Notamacropus eugenii: one gene and its partners. The protein of the gene in region 1 interacts with the protein of each later gene in a biochemical or structural test. Links are inferred from orthologs where the notes say so. Each region holds a gene or a part of one and is shown on either strand. Other genes may lie near its edges. The genes, in order: BTK, IBTK and SH3BP5.

Region 1 (7,288 bases):
AAAAATATTAAATGAGTAAGCGGCATCCAAGACTTCAAGGCCTTCCAAGGAGGGCGCCCCCTAGCGGCCAGAGCTTGGGAGGCAGCGCCAACCTTCGATTCCCACCCTCCTCCTCCTCCGGTCTCCACCCCCCCACGCCCCCACCAAGGCCCAGGTGCTGGGGTCCGGCTGCCGGGCGCGTTAGACCGGGCACGGCCACACCCCACCGCACCCCCGCCGACCGCCATGTTTCCTTTGTTCTCGCCCACCCGCCTCCAGCTGAAGCCCTGCGAGCCCAAGTTCGAGCGCCTCCCGGAAGAGCGGGCTCGTCAGGGGGGGCCAAGCTCTGCAGGGCCCTCCAAGCCGACCCGCACGAGCTATGACCATGCCCGATTCTCGCGCCTCCCCGGACGCCCACGATGGCCGCCGCAGCGTCGTCATCCGAAAAGAAAGCGACGTGGCCGGAAATGGGGGTAGAAAGAGGCTGCGGGCCGCATGGCTTCATGGGAAACGCCCTCCGAGTCCAAGAGGGGGAAATGCGCCGTGCGCCCTCTGGCGGCCGAGTTCTAAATTGCGGTTCTGCATTGCGCAGAACGCCATGACAGGCGGGGAGACAAAGGCTGAGAGGAGACAAAAGGGCAACGGAAACGTGCAGGGCAGAGGGCGCTAAGGACTCACCGAAGGGCAGTGATGCGCTTCCAACTGGGCTTCTCGGATGTCCAGGCCGCTGGGATCCCTCGGCCGAGCGCTCATAGGCGAGCGCTCGGCCGAGGATGACGACGAGCTGAAGAAAACGACTGACTTCCAAGGATGACTGCGAAAGACTGCGGCTTTCCTGAAAAGGTGGCACACGCGCATGCCTTGACGTCAGGGGGAGGGGCTGCACGGAGGCCCGCCTCTGATGCACACTGCCTGGTGGGCGTGGCCTCGTCATTTCTTTTCCCCGCCACGCCCCTCGTCCTCGCCCCGCCCCCTCTTCCTCGCCCCGCCCCTTCTCCCACCTCCCCCACTCGCTGGGCTGATGCTTTTACAACGTTTAGATCAGACAAGATCCTTAGGAAATGATGTGTTTGCATGACTTCTCTAAGCTCCTTTGCAGCTCTAAACCATGATCAATCCCCTCCTATGACAAGTGAGTAAACTAAGGCCCCCAGAAAGAAAAGCTCCTGTCCAAAGTCACAGGGCTAGTAAAAACCAGGCCCTCTGATGTCAAGTCCACTTGAAAGGATTCTAGAAACTCCTGGTTTTACAGTGGAAGAAACTACTGGCTCAGAACTCTTCTCCAAAGAAAACTGTGTCCTTACCACAGCTTAAGGGTCTTTCTGCCCCTTCCTGCAAATTGTTGTTGCTGTTCACCTGTTTTCAGTCATGTCCAACCCTTCCTGACCCCATGTGGGCTTTTCTTGGCAAAGATCCTGGAGTGGTTTGCCATTTCCTTCTCCAGCTCATTTAACAGGTGAGGAAACTGAGGCAGACAGGGTGAAATGACTCACCCAGGGTCACACAGGTAGGAAGTATCTGAGGCCAGACTTGAGCTCAGGTCTTCCTGATTCCAGACCCACCTAGCTGCCCTTCCTGCAAATTATCATCACTATTATAATATACACAGTACATCATCTGTCCCATCCTCAAAGCCTTTCCAACTTGGTAGGGCTTGTCAGAGCTTGGTGTCATTTGTAGATGCTGTGTTGACAAAGCCTGAGTCTCCTCCATAACATGTTGAGGCACCAAAATACATAGGGTCCTAGGGACTAGATGCAGAGTTGGAGGGGGGTCTTAGAGGTCATCTAGTCAAAACTCATTTTACAGAAAAGGAATCTGAGACCCAGGGAGATCAAACAAACTTGTTCCAGGATATAGGCAGTAGCAGAGCTGAGATTTGAAAGTAGGCTCTATGACACCAATTCTAGTTTTCTTTCCACTAGGGTGGGGGATAATGACTATTAAAAGATATTATTTATTTATTAATTATTCTTAAGTGCAAAATGCCATGTTGAGCCAACCAAATGAGAGCTGAGGCCTTTGGGTAATAAATATACGGAGTCAGAGACACTGGGATCAAATCTTGACTTGACCCCTTACTACTTCCATGACCTTGGACAAATCACCTTCACCAGGCCTCCATTTCTCTATCTATAAAATGAAGAGGTTGGACTATATGATTAGCAAGGGCCCTCCCAGCCCTAATATCTGTATTCTCTGAGACTGCAGACTATGGGGCTCAAGGGAAGTAGCCCTCCACTCCTCCTCCTTGGTCTAGTACAGAAGGATCTGAAGACCACAAGACCTTTTTCACTTAATAGCACTGCCAAAATACCTGGTGGATAGGATTAGCCAGGATGGTGGTCACTTCCATTTTATTCCTCAAACTTTTAGCTAGCTACCAAAATTTATGGAATTGGTTTTATAAGAGTAAATAAATTTGATTCTTCCAGTTCAAAGTCATCCTGAAATTGTGGAGCATCTGTAAGCTGCAAATCATCCCCATCCAAGAGAAAGTCCCCATTACCTTTTTCCCCTGTCTCCCCATAAAGCTGAAGGCTAGCACCCACTAATCCAATGGAATATCCCAGGAACCAGACATCCCCTTTGGCTTGCTTTCATGTTGTGGCCACTGCAAGTTAAATGTGTTCTGAGAAATCCAACAACACAATAGATAATGCCGTCTCTGACCCCATGTCCAGAAAACACAGACCATGGAAGGTAGCCAATCCACTACTTTAGGACTTGGAAGGAAACAAAAGTGAAACTTCCCAAACCTTTATCTAATCAGATGCATTGTTAGTGCGATAAGTGTTCTTACTCCTTTTAACATCATGGGTTTTGGGGGACACAAGTGTGGAGCAGATGTCTAAAGCTCTGAGATAAAATACAACCTTTGGTGCTTATTGGCTCCATGGCCAGTTTCTTCAACTGTAAAATGAATATAATAACAGCCCTTGTAACTACACTGACTCTTTACAAACTTTAAAGCACCATATAAAGGTCAGTTATTTTTACTTATTTGTCTGCTTTGAGTAAATGTGAGAACTAACCAGGCCAATACTTGGCCAATAAAAAGGTTTTGAAAAAATACATACCCATTTAAGACAACTTTGTTGCTTTGAGAATCTTGACAGGCATGTGAAGGTTTCATAGAAGCTTGGGAAGACTTGTATGAACTGAGGCAGAACCAAGTCAGTCACTCAGTCAATAGATGTTAGAACTCAGATCATTTCAATGACCAATCTTGACTCCCAAGGCCTAATGTTGGCAAAACACTTAATGTATCCTACCTCCTTTGATCCTCACAACAGTCCTGAAAGGTAGGTGCTATTATTATCCCCATGGCAGAGCTAAGGAAACCAAAGTGACTTGCTAAGGGTCACCTGACTGATAAGTGTCTAAGGCAGATTTGGAACCCAGTGTAACAGACTTCTGTCCTCTTTGCAGAGAAGGGGTGGTTATGGATGCAGAACAAGACATATGTTGTCAGATATGGCTGACTTCTGTTTAGAGCTGTTTCGAGATTTGGAGCAACGTTGGAGTTTGGGGGAGGGCTGTAGGTGACCGCAATGTAAATAAAGGCATCGATGAAACTTTTAAACATTTTAAATAATCTTAATAACTTGATAACTTGCAGTGGAGCCTAGGAAGGGCTTCTGCATGAGGCACCCAAGACAGGCAACTAAGGGTATGCTAGTGGGGGGAGGATGGATGGCAACATTGCAGTGGGATGCCTTCACCATCTGGTGCCCAATGCTCTAATTCCTAAGATAGCACGTGCCAACACTTATTTCCTGGGAGAATTGTGGGAGAAATGTGCCTCCTGGACTGACCAAAGGAAGACACTCCTTTTCACACTGAGTAGGAGAAGGGTGGGCTAGAGGCAGCAGTGGGGCTCAGCCCCAGAGCCAGCTGGGAACAATATGCCAGTTTTCTTCTGAGTGGCCCAAAGAGGCATGCTTTCCAGGATTACAGAGTCCTAAATAATTAAAGGCATAGTCTCCTAATAAGGGTCTTAAATGGAAAAAAAAATCAACATTCCTGGAAAATAGAGAAGGTACAAGTTTGCTTCTTGGCCCATGTTCTGACATCTTTATCTGCAGAAGAAAAAAAATCTTTCTTAGAAAATGACTCAACAGAGGAAGTCTTCCTATCTCTAGCTCTGCCGTTTTCTGGAGAAACTATCCCCTTTAAGTGCAGTTGTCTCAGCTCCAAGCCCCTCTGCCGTGGGTGGCCTTCCTCACAGGCTGCTTGCCCTGTCTGTCTACCTCTCCCTGCCTTGCCCCCCATTTCTACACTCCTCTTTCCTCTCTAGTTTTGCTCCCTGTGTTCTGCCTGTTCCTGTAGCCCTGAAGTCAAGGTTGTTTTCCACCTTTGTGGCCTGGCTCTACGGCCTGAGCCTCAGTGACACCAAAGTAGGTGGAGGCTTTTTTCTGAGCCCAACTCATGGTGGCAGTATTGGGGGTTCCAGGCTGATGGAAGGGGAAATAAGATACCATGCCTCTGAGAAGGGAGAAGAAAAAAAAGACATTGGTTTAAGTCAGGAAACAAAAAAAGGGGAACTGAGTGTCTGTGAAAGGGTGGGGTTTGCTCACACTGTCCTTCCTCTCAGGACTGTAAGAATATGTCTCCAGAGCCAGTCTCTGTGCTGATCGAATCCCACCTTCCACATCTGGGCAGCTTAATGCATCTGGGAAACCGCCAGCATTGAGTCAGGACTCAGGTAGGTGGTCAGTGTATGGTGGTGGTCAACAATGACTGAGTATCGACAGTGAGTACCTTCCCCCCTCAGGGCCATATGGGAGGGCTGGGAGAAAACATGGCTGGTGTCGGAGGTGGCCACAGGAGGTGGATGATGGGGGGTGGGGGGGGACTCAAAGCACCAAGTTCTGACAGCGCTAGATAACCAAGAGAGGCCAATGTTGTGGCCTAAGGGACTAAGGAAAGTGGAAGGAAGGAGTAGAGTGGAGCCCCAGAATCAGTCACAGGTAACGGAGAAGCACAAGCACTGTCACAAAACAAAGCTTCCCCTCTTCATAGCCTTTGCAAGTCTGGAGAGTGCACTACAGAGGCCCTTCTGGCCTGGGGAGACCTCTTTGCAAATGTTCAGCTGGGCCTTAGAAGGCAGCAGCATGGTGGGGTGATTTGGAGGCAAAAAGTGGAGGCCTGAATCATAGCTGTATGACCACAGAGGTAGGGAATATCAGAATTCCCCACACACACACACATTTCCTAGAATTGGCTAATGTGATCAGGACCTTTGTTTGATGGCCTCCAGAAAGGGAGAGCCCGCCACTTCCCAAGGCAGCTGCCTTAACTTCCAGCTCTAAGTGTACCATCATGGAATCCCAGATTTCAAGCTGAAAGGTTCCAGGGAAGTTATCTGGTCCAGATATTTGGACAAGTTAGTTCATCCCTCTGTATCTCACTTTCCCTCTGTGTAAAATGAGAGGATTCCATTAGGGGACCTTGATGTTCTTTCTAGCATTCTAGGTCTTGAATTCCTCTGTGCATGAGCTGAAAGGTCCACCCTAGGATGATCAGGAGAGCACAAGATGCTGAGTAAAGGCACTTGGAAGATGTGGGATGCCTACTGAGGGTCTCATGAAGCCAAACATTAGGTTCCATTTCAGTCTCAAATAAGGAATAAGTATACAGAGTCAGAACCAACCTAATGTTCATGTTTGATTTTTTAAAAAATCTAATTCTTTAGGTCAGGGACAGGCAGCCTGTGTCACTGGCATAGTCGTTACTTAGTCCCATTTCTCATCTCTCCTCTCCTCATGCTCTCCTTTTCTTTCTTCCTCTTTTTCTTGCTCTCTCTCTTTCTCCTGTTCCCTCTTCCTTCTCTCCTCCCCTGGGCTCTGATGGGCATTGCTGAGCTAGCACTGCTCATCACTGTTACTGACCCTAATCAGGGCCTTAGTCTAGCAGGGGACAGGGAATTTGAAGTTTGAGGCCTGGGATCAAATGTCGGCTCTGCCCCTCACTACCTGGCTCACTTTGGCCTCACCTGTGAGGGTCTCAAGAAGCACTTGACCTACCTATGTAGGCATCTGTCTCTTTGGTCCATGACCTGTATTTCCTTCACCCACCGCTGCCTGCCATCTTCCTAGCCTGGTGCTGTATATTTGAGAGAGCTGGACTTGATGACTGCCAAGATCCCTTCCCTCTCTAAACCCAGGTGGGGGGGTGGGAGTGGGGGTTGTATTTTTACATACATGTACATGTGTGTGTGGTTGTATGTGTTCTTATGTGTGCATGTATGTGCATATGGCTATGTGTGTATTTCTGTGTGCATGTACATGCATTGTGTGGCTGCATATATACATGCATTGTGTGGCTGTGTATGTACATTCATGCATTGTGACTGTATTTCAGTGTGTACATGCATGCACATGTGGCTATGTGTATATTTCTGTGTGTATGTACATGCATTGTGTGTGGCTTGTGTATTTCAGTGTGTTATGTACATGTATGCACATGTGTCTCTGTGTATTTCTATGTGTGCATACATACATTGTGTGACTGTCTGCATTTTGGTATGTATGTACATGGGTACACATGTGACCTTAAGTTGGGGTGGTGTCTGTCAGTAAGAGAGGAGCCAGCCCCCTCCAGTGTGGCATCGCCTGTTCTTAGGGCCACCAGAAGGTCTCTGGTCAGTTCTAGCCCTCCTCCTGGCAGGGCTGCAGCTGATTGTGGGCCCTGCGGGGCAGAGAAGGTTGTTCCAGACTCCTTATTCTTGTCTCCCAGGCCACTGGGGCAAGAACAAGTGGTTACTCTCTGAATTGCCTTTGGAACTCATAGGGGAGGGGGAGAGGGGCTGGCCCTGTGATTTCATTGGTACAGGGAACTTCCAGTGCAGAAACTCCCTCCATCAATCACGTCAGCACCTTCTCTACCACTCAGGCTAAGAGACTGAGTGTCTTGGTCACTAAGAGGGAAAGTGATTTGAGCAGGGTCACACAGGTAGGATGCAGGTATTCCTGGCGTGAAGGTGATCCACTCTACCACACTCCCTGTCTTCAGGACTTACAGGGGTGGGAAAAGGAGTGTGTGACCATGGAAGAGGAGGAATGGAAAACTAATGTTCCTCCCTAGGGGTAGGACTGGAAAAGAAGTAAGAGAAATGCTAGGCTCAGGCCACATGGTGCCAGGGGCTTTGTGTCCCTACTATGTTCCTTCACTCTTCTGGCCTCCCACTTTCCTTTGACCAAAAGGAAGCTGGAAACAAGGGGTGGTGGGGGTGTCGGGGAAGAAGAAGTGACCATACACACCAGGCTCCCTAGGACTCTCCTGCCTCCTGGACCTTGCTTTAGCT
Region 2 (7,738 bases), on another chromosome or scaffold:
AAAGATGGGCTGGCATTCAGGTAAGGTTAATCTCTGGTCTAACAATTAAGGAATGTTAATTGTTTTATGGAACCCATCTGTATTTTGTCATCTTTGCTAGAGGCTGGTGTCTTCTTGCAGATAAAAAGATACAGAGATAAAAAGATAAAAACTCCTTTAACCATACAAAGACAGAAAAGGACTCATGACAAATCTTTTGAGGATGTTAATTTTGTGGGGCTAGACAGATATACCCAGGGGAATACCAGCATGAGAGAGAACTTTTCTATCAAACTAACTTTAGCTAAATTCTTGAGTTCAACTTCAAGATAGAAATGTGGCTTAAGTAATCACACAAAATAGGGCAGTAATACAGAAGAGTATCGATTACAGAGTGGAACCACATATAAAATGATACAGAATCAATTTAATTTCTCCAACTGTATTGGTATCTGTTTACATACTTATCTTTTTCCCAACCAGAAGCTAAATTCCCTAGGGTCTTAAGATCAGGAACTCTCATGGGGTTTTTCCCCCAACAGTCCCTAAGACTGTATATTATGCACAGCATAATATAGCAGGTGCTATATTTAGCAGGTGCTAAATAAATGACAAAGGATGACAAAAAAGTTCCATAAATCCAAAATGTTATGTAGGTTTGTACCTGAGGCAACATGGCATATGGGAAAGAGTGTTGGATTTATTCTATATGGACCTATACTCTGTGGCTTACTATATTCAGTGACCTCAAACAAGTCATTTAACCTCTTAGGGCCTCCATTTCCTCATGTGTAAAATGAAAGATTAATTTTAAAAATTATCTCTATGGTCTCTACAAGTTCTAAATCTGTTAGTTAACTTAGATAATCTCTAAGAAGCCTTTCAGTTCTAACATTCTATGCTTCTTAAGTGAAATGACATCATGAATGAAATACTTAAATGACTAGCCAGAACCAAAAACAATCTTTTTTACAGCACTAAAACTGTTATTCACATAAGGTTACAAAACTTATCCTTTATTATGTTAAAAAAAATTGTTCTGAGATTTTTCTCTCTTTACTATTTTGTCAAAAGTTTCATTGCATTGGACAGAGCAAATTTATTCCAATCCTCTACCATTACAATGTTATTACTGTTCAAGTATTTTAGACTCTGTGACCTCATTTGGGGTTTTCTCGGTAAAGACACTGATTTGCCATTTCCTTCTCCAGCTTACTTTACAGATGAAAAAAGTGAGGCAAACAGGTTAAGTGACTTGCCCATGATCACACACAGCTAGTGGCTACAGCTGGATTTTAACTCAGGTCTTCCAGACTGCAGGTCTGAGGCTCTATCCACTGTGCCACCTAGCTGCCCTACCAGCACAATGCCCACATTCTAATTTGGATAATTTTTCCCAAGTTACTTTTAGAGGGAACTTCATTGGATATGGCAACTAATTTCTTCCCTATAAACAGCTATAAAATTTGACATTTATTCAAATTATTTTCAAAACAATGCTGGCTTAGTTTCTAATTCTACCTGTTCTGTACCTAAAAGCTTCTTACTCTTTTCAAAATGTTTATTTCCACAACTTTATGCAAAGGAATATATACACAATGTAAGTAATTTCAACCAACACTTCTTCCAAACTGCTTGACGAAAGCGATAAGCTTCTCTGCTCCTCTATAGAATGTGGTATAAAGGCCAAAGCAAATTTTAGTTTCCAAGACGTTTACGATAAATTCAAAAAAAACTTCTCAACTAAAAAGAGACTAACTAAAACAAAAATTTTAAACATTTGGGGCTTCACTACCAACAACAAAAAGGCTTCTGAATTTGCACTCCACTCGACAGCAGGGTAGAAACACAGCACATGAATAAAGCAGCTGGGGGGGGGGGGGGCCCAAGATAGATGGGATTTGTAGTCCGGTGTAAAGGCGTACCCATTTTATTTTGCTGCCACTCAAATTTTTAAAAGCATTAATTTGTGAATTAAAAAAATGACACTTAAATCCTTCCTCAATCACTGCTCCGGGTAAAAAGAGAGAAAAGGTTTGTCCCGCTGCCGGAGTAGCAAGGAACTTTTAAAATGAGACTGGTTTGAAAATGAGTGTGAAGTTCCCCTTTCCGCATTTTATCCACCACACTCAAGCGCAAGGAGACTGTTTCCTCCAAGCGTGATCACTGCCAGAATAAAAACAAAAAACCCTAGCGCTCCACTCTCCGGCTTCGGAGTTGGAGCGCAGATGACACCCCAAGCACCAGCACTTTGGGAGAGCCACGTCACGTGACAGGCACGGTCCGCTTCGAGGGGGACGCTGGTCAGACAACAAGCGAGGGCGCAGGGATCAGGAGGAGGTGGCCCAATCCAAAGGTCGGCCTCAGACCGCAGCATCCGCGGGGGCAGGTGGTGCCACCACCACGTAACCCAGCTGACCATTCATCGGCAGAGGGCCTGGCGCAGGCCCCCCCCAGCCGGGTGCTTAGATAAACACCCTGGGATGGGGCCTAACGCTTCCCCCCCTACACACACACACGCACACACGCGCAGCTCGGCCTGGGGGGGCGGGGTGGGCTTCCCTACAGGGCTCAGGCTCTCCTCCCCGCCCCCTGGCCGCCCCTCACCAGTCGCTAGATAAAACAGCGCCGGCGGTCTCCACGGGGTCTGCGCTCGGCGGACTGGGCACTCATCCTCAGTGACAACAGCCGGGGAACGCGAGGAGCGCCAGCTAAGCCGGTTCCCAGTGCCCTGTCCGGAGGGTCCGGCGGTGGCCAACGGCGATGACCCTCAAACCTCAACGGGAGCCGACGAGGCGCTGCTGGACCGGAGGAGAGAGGGAGATGGTGTAAAGTGGGTGGGACCCACCCTGGAACAAGACGGGCGCCGATTGGCTGCGGCTCACAGATGCCTCTTGGGGATTGGCTGAGCGGCTGCCAGGGTTCCCCGGGCCGCGGCCGTTTCCTTTACCCCTCGCTTCCTCTGAAAGTCCACCTTGTGCCCCTCCCCCATAGGACTCCCTCTGCCTCTGACTGACCCTGACCCTGACACCGGCTCGGAGGGTGGGAGGGACTTAGGGGAGTGCCACGTAAGTTGGGGCCCAAGCGGCCCTAGAGGGACCGGCTCCTTCGGGACCGCGCGCCCCGTGGGGTTGTGCCCAGGACCAAGCCGCCCCGCCCTCTGACACAACCCCCGGGGTCGGCGGCTCCACTCCTCCGCTACTGGAGCCGCGGGTGTGGACGCTGACCCGAATCGGGCTCGGGAGGGGGAGGGGCGGGCGCCCACGTGGCGGGGGATGGGCCTCTTCCACCCTCCCGGGAGCTTTTGCGCCACCTGAGCCCCCGCTGCCCGACTGCGCACGGGTCACCCAGGGGCCACGGGCATCATCTTCCTGCCCTGTCACCGTGCCCGTCTCTGGGCACTGAAATGCCACCTGGCTAAGCCATGTGTCATTCCCCGGTTTGACCTGTCACGAGTGGTGACCGCCTCCTCGGAGGCGGGATTTGGACGGGCCCTTCCATGCCCAGTGTGCTGCCACGTTAGGACTTGCTGCTGTGCCGAACCCCAGAACCGGAGGAGACCCCCGAGGCCGTGTAGACCAACCCCGCCTCTTTTTGCGGATGAGGAAACGGAGTTCTTTAACACTTGTTTGCTAATGTAATCACTGCCCAAGCTGCCATGGAAAAGGTCAGAGGCAGAATCTGAACCAAAGCCGTCCAGCGCCAGCGCCCAGAGATAGGGCTTTGTCGTGCCAGCCCTTGCCATTCAAGGTTTGGTTTCCCCTCCGCTAGCATCTCACGTTGAGGGCTTGAGAAAGGAGGAAAAACGCCTAGGAACATCTAGAGATAATGGCTTCCATACATTTCTCACCTTTGTTTTCTTTGCTGCTTTTTTTCTAATTGGGACCATTCGATACCTGAACTAGGGTAGTGACTGTGTGAAGAGGAAGAAGGGGATGTGTATCTATGTCTAGCTACATACATATGTATGTTTATATATGAGAAATATGTTCACAAGTTAGGAAGAGATAGCATGCAAAATGAAAGATGTAGGGATCATAGTTTGATATTAAAAGAAAACTTCATTAATTGCCTGATACACACCTGAATCCCTGACTGTCTGATTACCTCCCTGTGCTTCCTTGGGGAAATCACTCTTTCTTTCTGGACTTTACTTGCCTCATCTGTAAAATGAGAGGTTTGGAACCACTTTATTCACCTTTTGCAATCTGACTTCTAACTTCATCACCCCAACGTTCAGCTGAAATTGCTTTCTCCAGAATCACCAGTGATCTCTTACTTGCCAAATCTAATGACCTTTTCTCAGTCGTTTTCATTTTTAAAATCTGCTACACTATTGATCACCCCCTGAGTACTCTTTCCTCTAGTTTGTTCTGGTTTGTTTTTTTTTAAAGTAACTTTGCTGTCTTTCCTGATTCAACTTCCTATATGACTTCTCTTCAATTTTCCACTAGACTGTTCTGGGCTCCCTTCTTGTCACTCTCCGTTCTGTACTCTCATTTGGTGATCTCATCAGCTCCCATACGTTAAATTATCATCTCTACGTAAATGATTCTGAGGTCTATATATCCAGCCCAAGTTTTTCTTCTGGTCCTAAATTTCCAGCTGCCTTTTGGACGTGTCAAACTGAAGTCCAAAACAGAAATCATTATCTTTCCCCTCCAAATTCTCATCTCTTTTAAACTTTCCTACTACTGCCAAAGGAACTAGGCTCGCAAACTTGAAGTCATCTTTATCTCCTCATTCACTCTTACTCCACATATCCAATCTGCTGTCAAGGTTTGTCATTTCTACCTTGATGACATTTCTTATATATGCCCCCTTCTTTCCATTCACACAGCCACCATCCTAGTTCATGCCTTCATCATCTCTAGCCTGGACTACTGCAGTACCTTCTAATTGGTCTGCAATAACTTTTGTCCTATTCCAATCTATCCTCAACTACCAAACTGATTTTTAAGTGTAGGTATGATTGTGTCATTCTCTACTCAGTCAGCTGCAGAGACTTTCTGCTACCCCCAGGATCAGATATAAAGTCCTCTGTTTGGTATTTAAAGAGGTGCTCCTGCCTCCCTAGTCCTCTTACCCTTTATTCCCCTCCACCTGCCCCACAGTCCAACCACATTGGCCTATTTGCTGCTTCTAGCACACATAACATATTCTGTCTTTTTGCTTTTATTCTCGTCGACTCCTGTGCCTGGAATTTACTCCCTTCTATTAGTTTCCCTGGCTACCTTCAAGACTTATCTCAAATTCAGTCTTCTGCAGGAGGCTTTTCAAAAACCATCATCTGCTAGTGCTTTCTCCTCTGAGATTGACTTCTATCTACTGTGTAATGTTGTTTATGTATCTAATTATTTTACATGCCTGCTCCATTTGAATGTGAGCTCCTTGAGGACAGAGAGAATTTTTACCTTTGTTTGTGTCCCCAGCATGCCACACAATGCCTGAAACGTAGTAAGTATATATAATAAATGTTTATTGGAAGGGAAGGGAATAGGCATTTATGAAGCACCTACTATGTGCCAAACACTGTGCTACACACTTTGGAAATATCTCATTTATTTGATCCTCACAACTCTGTGAGGTAAGTGTTCTTATTATCCCCATTTTACAGTTTTGAAACTGAGGCAGACAGTTGTGAAGTGACAAACTGAGGCAGATGGTTGTGAAGTGACTTGCTTAGTCACAGAGCTGGTAAGTAATTTGATTTGAATTCAGCTTGTTGGCTAAGTATCTCAGTGCCTACTATATACAGGTACCATATTAATTGCTTGCCCTCAGAAAGTGTCTGTTCTACTTATGACCTCTATAATCCAGTGTAGCCCTGAATCTATAATGTTATGATAAAAGCAGTAACTACTTTAAAGAAATTCTGCATACTAGTTGTCAATTAAGTGCATTACATTTCAATTCAATAAATATTTATTGAACTTCTAGAACGAGATTAGGTTTGAAGGAGAATACAGAAGTAGTAGGTGAACTAAATCTTCCCCCAGAGGAGTTTACAGTCTTTTAGAAGAGAGAAGATTTTATGCATTTGAGAAACAGCACAGTGTATAATTCACAATAATGCACAATAATAGCATAGTACTTAATTCAGGATAATCACAAGCTAAAAATGCATGATAAAAGCAATTAAGTGATCAAGAAGAAGAGAAGTATACATAATACATAGAACTATCAAGTTACATTTCAAAAGAAGTGGGATTTGAAATGGATCTTGACTCATTGAACTTCCATGAAGAATAGAAAGGAAGAGAGGATTCCAGGTGGGGGAAATAATTAAAAGCAAAAAAAGATGTATTGTTACAGAAACTATGTAAGCCAAATGATCTAGTCAGTGAGAATATAGCTATAAAAATGAGGCAGTTCTTTCCCTCGAGTTCCTTCTTGGGGGCAGGGGTACAATAAGGAGGTAGAGAGGGGAAAGAATAGCACGTATACAGATATGTGAATACAGAATATATAATTGTTACAATAAGCAACTACTTCTGGGCTTAAACAGCTGAGAAACTATACCCCTTCTCTGTACCCAACAGAATGGACCCTCTCAACCCTGAACAAAGGCATACAGTCCAATTGGGTTCTGTCATAGGGGAGCCTGGCATTACACCCTTAAGTTAATTAAATCCCAACCCAAGCACCATGGGATAAATTATTTAAGGCTTAGATTTTAGTTCAAATCTACATCTCCTCAAAAAGCTGAGAATTAAAAAGATTGTCAAAATATGTAATATGAACCAGGTTTGAGATAGGCATTTATTTTCTGCACACCCATGAAAAATGAAGTCACTAAAGACTGCGCATTGGCAAAACTACTTTGAAAAGGATTCGGTAACTTCATCTATACCTACAATCTCATGGGAGACTGACATTTAAGCCTCATTAGAACATAAAACAATCTGTGGCCCTAGTGAATGGCCATAGCCACATTTTGCCTTTTCTCTGTCCAAACAACTCCTAGTCATACTACTGCTAGTAGTCACCTCTGATGAAAAAATTCACTGCCACCAGTCAGCTAGACTGTCAGACCACTCAAAACCATGAGGTCATCTCCAAGTCTAGACATATCCAGATAGAGATTGTTGCTCAGTCACCTACTCAGAAAAGAAGACTTAAAATGGATAATAAAAAGGCAAGGAGCCCAGATACAAGCTTGGCCAGTGAGGTCCCACTATTCTAGCTAGTATGTAAAAAATTCCTTCTTGCTGGGGTATGAAAGGAACAAGCGAACCCCCACCCCAAACTGGAAATCTCAGAATTACATGATTCTACTTGGAGAAAAGGAAAAGAAAGAAGAAAAAGCCACAAGCTGATTCTCTTTAACTGAGCCAGTACTTTGTCCTTCTCCTACTATCATGAGAGTTTTCTGCTGCATCATGCCAAAGTCAAGCAATAAACATTTATTAAATACCTAGTATGTGTCAGACACTGTGCTCAGCTCTCAAGATAGAATTACAAATAAAAAAAAAGGCAATCCCTGTCTTCCAGAAGCTAACAGGCTGACAGGGGAAGACAGCACACAACAAGAAACTGGAAAAATGGGGAGGGCAGAGTGCAGAAGAAAAATCATACAGGATCATGATGAAGAAAGTCCACAAGTAGTGTATCTAGAGGAAATGAGGAGTGACTGTCTTTGGCCCTTAAGTGGAAGTTTTGGAGCTCATGAATTTTCCCTCAGATCAGAAGGACAGATGGTACTCATGAAATGTGAATATCAAAGTAGTTTTGATTTTTCAATATGATGAGATTTTCC
Region 3 (7,947 bases), on another chromosome or scaffold:
CCCTCCATCCTATCCTGCCCCCCATTTATTCTCTTCTCTCTTTTGACCCTATCCTTCCTCAAAATTGTTTACTTCTAATTACCTCCTCCTCCCATTTGCCCTCCATTGTATCACCCACTTTTCTCCCCTACTTTCCTGTAGTGTAAGATAGATTTTCATACCAAATTGAGTGTGCATATTATTCCCTCAAGTCAAATGTGATGAGAGTAAGATTCACTCTTTCCCTCTCACCTCTCCTCTCTTCCCCTCCATTGAAAAAGCTTTTTCTTGCCTCTTTTAAGTGAGAGATAATTTGCCCCATTCTATTTCTCTCTTTCTCTTCCCAATATATTCCTCTCTCACCCCTTAATTTAATGTTTTTAGATATTATCCCTACTTATTCAATTCACCCTGTGCCCTCTGTCTATATGTATTTAATCCCTCCAACTAACCTAATAATGAGAAAAGTCTCAAGAGTTACAAACATGATCTTTTAATAAGTCCCTTATGATTTCTCTTTCCTGTTTACCTTTTCATGCTTCTCTTTCTTCTTGTGTTTGAAAGTCAAATTTTCTATTCAGCTCTGGTCATTTCAACAAGAATGTTTGAAAGTCCTCTATTTTACTGAATGACCATTTGTTCCTCTGAAGTATTATACTCAGTTTTTCTGGGTAGGTGATTCTTGGTTTTAATCCTATCTCCTTTGACCTCTAGAATATCATATTCCAAGCCCTGTGATCCCTTAATGTAGAAGCTGCTAGATCTTGTGTTATCCTGATTATATTTCCATAATAATCAAATTGGTTTTTTTTTTCTGGTTGCTTGCAACATTTTCTCCTTGACCTGGGAGCTTTGGAATTTGGCTACAACATTCCTAGGAGTTTTCCTTTTGGGATCTCTTTCTGGAGGTGATTGGTGGATTCTTTCAATATTTATTTTACCCTCTGGTTCTAGAATATCAGGGCAGTTTTCCTTGACAATTTCTTGACAATATCTAGGCTCTTTTTTTGATCATGGCTTTCAGGTAGTCTAATAATTTTAAAATTTTCTCTCCTGGATCTATTTTCCAGGTCAGTTGTTTTTTCTAATGAGATTGTCTGCTATTTTTTCATTCCTTTGGCTTTGTTTTATAATTTCTTGATTTTTCATAAAGCCGTTAGCTTCTATCTGCTCCATTCTAATCTTTAAGGAATTATTTTCTTTAGTGAGCTTTCAAACCTCCTCTTCCATCTGGCTTTTTAGGCATTCTTCTCCTCATTGGCTTTTGGGATCTCTTTTGCCATTTGGGTTAGTCTATTTTTTAAAGTGTTATTTTCTTCAGTATTTTGGGGGGGTCTCCTTTAGCAAGCAGTTGACTCCTTTTTTCATGATTTTCTTGCATCACTCTCATTTCTCTTCCTGATTTTTCCTCTACTTCTCTTACTTGATTTTCAAAATCCTTTGTGAGTTCTTCCATGGTCTGAGACCAATTCATATATTTTTAGGAGGCTTTGGATGTAGGAGCCTTGACCTTGCTATCTTCTGTTTGTATGCTTTGGTCTTCCTTGTCACAAAAGTCAGATTCTATAGTCTGATTCTTTTTCTGCTTTTGCTCATTTTCCCAGCCATTTACTTGACTCGTGATCTCTTTGTCATAGTAGTTCTCTGATTCCAGTGGTGTTGGGGGTGTACTGTCAGCTGATTGATCCCCTCACAATTTGTGGACCTAGAGCTCCAGAAACAGTCTCTGTTGCTGCCCTTGCCCCTGCTCCTGCTGCCTTGGGCTCCTCCTCTGCAGGCTGCTCCACCCCCTCCACCACCCCGGGGCTGGGGTCAGACCACTCTACTCTCTCACACTGGTCTCACAGGTTTTTTCCACTGACCTTCCAATTTGTCCTCAGCATTTTGGGGTCATGAAGTCTGGAAATCGCCACAGGTGCCTGAGATTCAGTCCTTCCAAGGCTTGCTCAGGTCCCATCTGTGCTGGCATGGCCCACACTGTCCTGCGTTCTGCTCCCAGTGTGGCATGATAGACACTTCCTGGAGACCATCCAGGCTGTCTTGGGCTGGAAATTTGCTTCAGTCTGTCATTCTGTGGGTTCTGTAGCTCCATAATTTGTTTAGAGTAATTTTTTACATATATTTGGCTAGGTTTGGGGGGAAAGCACTAGCAAGTCCATGCTGTTACTCTGCCATCTTGGCTCCCAGTTTGTATTTTCTAGTAACAACTATATTATGCTTAAGATTGTGCCTGTGACTGAGGACTTGGCATCAAATGAATCAGAGAGATGGACAATTGTTTCACTAAAGTCCTTCTCCAGTGTTTCATCCAGGTAAAGAAGTGGTTCACTGATACTTCCAGAAACTATGCCCCAAGTCCCTAGGGGAGTGAATCTACTCAGCTTTTGGAGCTCCAGCCCTAGGCTGGGCTTCTGACCCTCAGCTGGGATTGGTGAGAGAATTCCCCTTGGTGACTACAGGCCCCAGAGCAGACCAGACTGCACATCCCATCCAGCCCTCTTGTATTGGTCTGGTCACTACGAGGTGTCCTGTACCTTTTTATCTCTTACTTTGGGTAGAGTAATCAAATCAATACCAACTCTCCTCCCATCTCCAGGCCATCTTCTTGTGCTGACTGTCCAACATTCATGAAATCCATTCTTTCCAACGTAAAGTCCCTCTCTTTTATGACGTTGCTCAGGTGCCATCTTCTGCATAAGGCCTTTCTTGATCTCCCCAACCACTAGTGGCCTCCCTCCCAAACTACTTTGTATTTAGTCTATTTGTCAACATGTATTTATAAATTTTATAATTATGTTTTATCTATTTTTAAATGTCCTTCTTGTCTCCCCAATGGAACATGAGTTCATGGTGAGTATCGATCATTCCATTGTTTGTACTTTTGTCCTTAGAGCCTGGCAAGGAGCCTGGCACGTGGTAGGCCTAAATAGATGTTTGTTGATTGATTAATTGCTTCTGGAAAGGTCAGATCAATGGATGGACCTATGGATCAACTTGGGACAGCTAGATGGCATAGTGGATAGAGTGCCCTGTTTGGAGTCAGGAAAATTCATCTTCACAAGTTCAAATCCAGACTATTTAAAGGGTGAGACTTCATAATTTGGAAATTGGCAAACTACAAGTTATGGCTTGATGTATTGATTTGCTGATTGTCTAGATTTGAGAAAGTGATGGAAAAAATGTTAATAATGCAGATAAAACTTTAAAATGTGTCTAACTACATTTCCTTCCCCACAGGAGAGCTGGGTGTTAAACATTTACCAGCACATCCCTGCTTTCACCCCTTTGTATCAGGAAATTGGTCTGGCCAATCTGAGATATTCACGAACAGTCTGACTGAAGTCTGGAAGGAGGATGATTGGAGAAGGTAAATGAAGGAGAACGGAGCACCATAGACTCATACTGGGGGGCTCCATTCCAGGTACCGATACAGAATGAGAAGGAAACTTTCAGACCTTTTAGTCCAAACCCCTCAGGAGGGTCAATTAGAAACAAGATTACAGATACCTAACTGGGCCAAGTCACTTCATTCTTCTGCACCTGGTTTTCTCAGCTATAAAAATGTATTCCATATAGAAAGGGAGATGCTTGAGGGCCAGGACTGTGGTTTTTTGTCTTGAGGGTAGGTGTGGAAAGACTAGCTATTAAGTCACAGAGGCTTCAGAGCCCTCCTGAATGCTTACTATTAGTGTGACTTTGGGCATGTGACTCAAGCATAACAGGCTGCATTTATATAAGGTTTGTAAAGCATTTCAATGTATTATCTCAACCTGGGTCTCAGTTTCCTTCTCTGAGGGCCCTTCCAAGTCTGGATGTAGGAGCCTATGGTTTGTATCCCCAGCACCTGGCATGGGTTGGACTGTATCAAGGACCATTTTAGTGGGGTATCTTTTGGTATCCTCTGGGCTTAGCACTGGGTGCCTGGTACATAGTAGGCATAAATATTAAGCATAAATATTTATTGATTCATATGCTGCTTTGCCCATCTGAAAAAGTCTATAGACCCCTTCTTAGAGTCACAGTTTTTAAGTAGTTGAAAGAAATGCTGGATTTCGGTTGGAGATTAGTGAAAATAAGATGGATACCCGCCCCGCCAAGTTCAGAGATACCTCCACCCAGCAGCCCTCATCTCTTGGACTGTTTGATCGATCCCTAAGGCTCCTTCCTGTTCTAACTCATGAGGCTCCAGTGGCAGGAGCAGGTTTAGAAACCAGGTGTCTCCTGCTGCCCCATTACCCAAGGTTAAATAGTGAGACAAACAGATTCTTCCCTCTCTAAAAAGGCATTTTAAAAGATACTTAGGTTGTATGTATGTATATACATATACACACATATAGTCATATATATATGTACACAATCTAGTTACATAAAAACTATATGTTTATAACGATATGCATAGTTATAGTTATACACAGTATATCACTACATAGTTATTCGTATACTATACCTAACATATTTATAACGATATAGTTACGTAGTATATGTAACTATCCTTATCAATATAGTTACATATGATTACATAACTTTTGTAACTACGGGGTATGTATAACTGTGTAGGTAGTTTTACGCGTCCCATATGTAGCCACGGATTTATAAGTATAAACATATAAGGAACTATCTGTCCAGTCACCTATCCTATAACCAAGAGACTCTGCCCCCAGCTAGGACCAGAGGCTTTGCCAATGGGCTCCTTGCTCGGCAGTGACTGCCGGCTGCACCGTCAATACAGAATTACAACCAAAGCTCAGTTCCAGCCCCTGCTCCCTCATTAGCCGCTGGGAGCTGCGTCCCTCGGGCGGGCCGGCTGGGCCGGGCCGGGGGGCCTCGAGGGTCCCGACAGCAGGGCAGGAGAGTGGGAGGGGGCAGGGCTGCCCAGGAGGAGGGAGGAGGCCGGGATGCTGCGCTGACAGCATCGGCAGAAGGGGCGGGCGCCCGCGTTTCCTCCTCCCCTTCCAGCGGCCGCGGCCCGGCCCGAGGGGAAGACGAGCCTCCCGGGGCAGGCTGGCCAGCCGGCGTTCCTGGACGCTGCCGGGGTCTCGGGTGTCCGCCGCGCTCAAGGGCCACACGGGCAGGCTCCGCACCGCTGCGCTCCGGAGGCGCTCAGAGCTCCCGAGGGCGCCCGGCCCGGGGCCGTGCTGCACCCCAACCTGCCCGCATGGACGCGGCGCCGAAGCGGGGCCGGCCGGAGGAGCGGCTGGCAGAGGTGAGCCCTTCACCGCCACCCACGGGGGACGAGGACGAGGACGAGATGGAGCCCGAGATGATGGAACAGGAGGAGGAGGAGGAGGTAGACCCCCGCATTCAGGTACGAGGTGGGGGGCGTCCGTGGGGGTTGCTGCACCCCCATTCTAGGCGGTCCGGGTTCGTACACCCCCATCCAGCCCGAGCTGACACCCCCACCCTGAACCACTCCCTCCCCCAGTGGGTGCGGTACGCCCGCGTGGACTGCAGGCAGGGGAGGGGGCTGCTTGATTTGGGCCGGAGCTGGGGTTTGGGGGGACGTGGCGGGGGTCCGGACACCCCTTCCTCGGCGAGGCCTCCCCACTTCGCCTACCGCACCCACGCGCGCTGCTCGTGGGCTCCCGCTGTTGGCAGCCCCCTCCGACAGCATCTGGGGATGGAGATGATAGCGGTTCACCGGGAGGTGGACAACAAAGGACAAATGGGGGGGGCTAGTGGGAGGCTCCCGGCCCCGCACTGGCTTGGCGGTGGGAGATTTAATTCCTCGCTCTGCCCCTTGGGTCAGTGCCTAGTTGTAGCGCTTCAGCTCTGGGTCTGGCCACGAAATTGCTTAACGTCCTGGCTCCTTCCTTTTCTCGTGCACCGAGAGGACTCGTCCCGTGACCAGGGTCTGCCCCCACCCTCATGGGCATCGTCGCGGTGGGAGCAGATGTCCCTCAGGGACCCATTCTGCCCAGGACCTCGGCTTTCCCTAGCCGAGTGTGCAGGTGCCCCGACCCCAGGTGGGGTGAGTCATCGGGGCATCCCCATAGGAAAGTCTTCCCTTTCCTCTAATTCATTGTTAGCCCGCGTGGTTTCATTGTCACTTCGGTGGGGTTCTCGCTGCAGAGCAGCCCCTTGGCCTGAGTCCTTACAGCAAACCCTGGGTTTTTTCCTTGTTGTTGGGGCTGTGGTCAGCGAATAGGTGGCTGGGACAGGAGGGATTTAGAGCCGCCCTGCCGAAATATGGGGCAAGGGGAGCTTTCTGGCTTCTGACTCCTAAAAACAAGTTTAAAAACCCAGTAAGGTCAGAATTCAGGCAGAGATCTGGCTTCGAGAACTCACCTTCCCTCTCCTAGAACCACCTAACTCATAAACACAATACAATAAATGATGTTTTCCAGGATCTTGCCTCTTCCTCCACCCCGAGGTCATTTTTTCTATTGCTTAAAAGCTCTTACGCAATTTTTTTGAGCCCTAATTGGTTTTTCAGTTCACTAATCAATTAAAAGATCATTTAACTCTATGGATGGGGTTTGAATGAATTGTTGGAACCGATTAGCAAGATAAAGGTCAGGTGGGAAATCGAGAATGAGGCTTTTGAATGAAAATAATTCAATTTCTCCTCCTTGAAACCAGGGCTTCCCACCTTCTTTGAGGCTCCGAGCAAGGTTCTTTGTTTCCGGAGTATCGATCACACAACTTTAACTCTCTCTTTTACAAACCCCAATTTTCAGTGCCAGGGACAGGGTCATAATAAAAGTTCTCCGGTGTAAGAACCGCTAAGGCCATCGGCTAGCTCGCACCGTTTTTGTTTTTAATCCATTCATTAACAAAGAAGAAAAAAGCCCTCAGCACCTTCTGAGCTATTGTCAGAAGTCAGGCCTTTGATTTACAGTTTTGGGAGCTGGGTAGATTCTTGACCTCGATTTATTTTTGGACTTGCAGGCTTCCTTTCTTACCATGTTAAAAAGATAGTCAATCAACCCTTAGCTCTCGGGCACTCACCCATGCCAGGGTAGCAGATTCTACTACTCTGAAGTCAGGTTCCTGGAATAAGTCTTTGCATTGTAAGCAAAGAGAAATAACCCTTGGTGGGATTACCAGAAAAAAAAGACTTAGTCTTAAAATCTTACACAAACACACACACACAAACACACTCATACACTCTTAAATGGTGGTTTCACCATCTCCTCTTCCCGCTTAACCAGGGACCCCTTTCATGGAAAGGTTTTTAAAACATGAGAAAGTTCATCCATGTTTCTGTTTCTAGTTAACATTCCAGCTAGAGCCTGAGCTATTTTCTTTGGGATCGCTGTCAGGATTAATAATTCTCCCTTAATCTTCTATTTTGTTCCCTTTGTGTCTGCTTCCAGGTAATACACTAGCTTTACTTTAAAAAAAACAAGCAAACAAAACTATAAATCTTTAAATCAGGCATTCTTAACCTTTGTTTGAGTCATGTTCATTTTGAGTCATGTTTAAGGTGTCAGGTGATGTCTTCCTTTCTTAGAAGAATGTTTGTATGTTATTGAAAGAAATGCTAAATTCTAGTTAGAAATTAGTGAAGATAGAGATTTCATATTCCCCCCCCCCCCATTCCAGATTTGCAGACCCCTCTGGTTAGGAGTCCCTGCTTTAAACTGTTTCCTTCTTTCCCCAGGGGGAACTGGAGAAACTAAACCAGTCCACGGATGACATCAACAGACGGGAAACTGAGCTGGAGGTATAGGTTTCTGTGTCCCCTTCCCCTCTTCTGTGAAAGGGTTTCCATGGGACTCTTATTTTGGCCTGTTGTTTGATTTTAGTGGTCGTGAGATGAGCCTTGGGGTTGCCTCCTTGGGAGCTTGGCCAGTAACTAACTGAAACAGTTGGGTTCAGACAGCTGAGCCTGGTTTCTCATTCCTGCTCTGCTTTTCACGACTGGAGCTGGCTCAGCCAGGCTCAGTCTCAAAGGTCTGCATTGCATCACCTAGACCTAAGTGTAGGCCTGATGGATCTGGGGAGAACAATCCAGGATCCTTGGGG

What was found.
Region 2: the proteins of BTK (region 1) and IBTK form a complex in vitro, tested with the Homo sapiens proteins (2 studies listed by BioGRID). The link is inferred for Notamacropus eugenii from reciprocal best matches to the Homo sapiens genes BTK and IBTK.
Region 3: the proteins of BTK (region 1) and SH3BP5 form a complex in vitro, tested with the Homo sapiens proteins (2 studies listed by BioGRID, with this or other methods). The link is inferred for Notamacropus eugenii from reciprocal best matches to the Homo sapiens genes BTK and SH3BP5.

What each region holds. Positions count from the first base shown.
Region 1 is NC_092879.1:92,839,155-92,846,442, reverse strand, and holds the start of BTK (tyrosine-protein kinase BTK), read left to right. Parts: upstream 1-4,228; 5' UTR 4,229-4,379; intron 4,380-4,576; 5' UTR 4,577-4,687; intron 4,688-7,288. Other genes in the region: RPL36A (large ribosomal subunit protein eL42), read right to left, coding at 658-837. UniProt on the Homo sapiens protein: Non-receptor tyrosine kinase indispensable for B lymphocyte development, differentiation and signaling. Binding of antigen to the B-cell antigen receptor (BCR) triggers signaling that ultimately leads to B-cell activation.
Region 2 is NC_092873.1:154,841,836-154,849,573, forward strand, and holds the start of IBTK (inhibitor of Bruton tyrosine kinase), read right to left. Parts: upstream 3,096-7,738; 5' UTR 2,587-3,095; intron 1-2,586. UniProt on the Homo sapiens protein: Acts as an inhibitor of BTK tyrosine kinase activity, thereby playing a role in B-cell development. Down-regulates BTK kinase activity, leading to interference with BTK-mediated calcium mobilization and NF-kappa-B-driven transcription.
Region 3 is NC_092874.1:38,576,298-38,584,244, forward strand, and holds the start of SH3BP5 (SH3 domain-binding protein 5), read left to right. Parts: upstream 1-4,895; 5' UTR 4,896-5,134; coding exon 5,135-5,284; intron 5,285-7,582; coding exon 7,583-7,645; intron 7,646-7,947. UniProt on the Homo sapiens protein: Functions as a guanine nucleotide exchange factor (GEF) with specificity for RAB11A and RAB25. Inhibits the auto- and transphosphorylation activity of BTK. Plays a negative regulatory role in BTK-related cytoplasmic signaling in B-cells.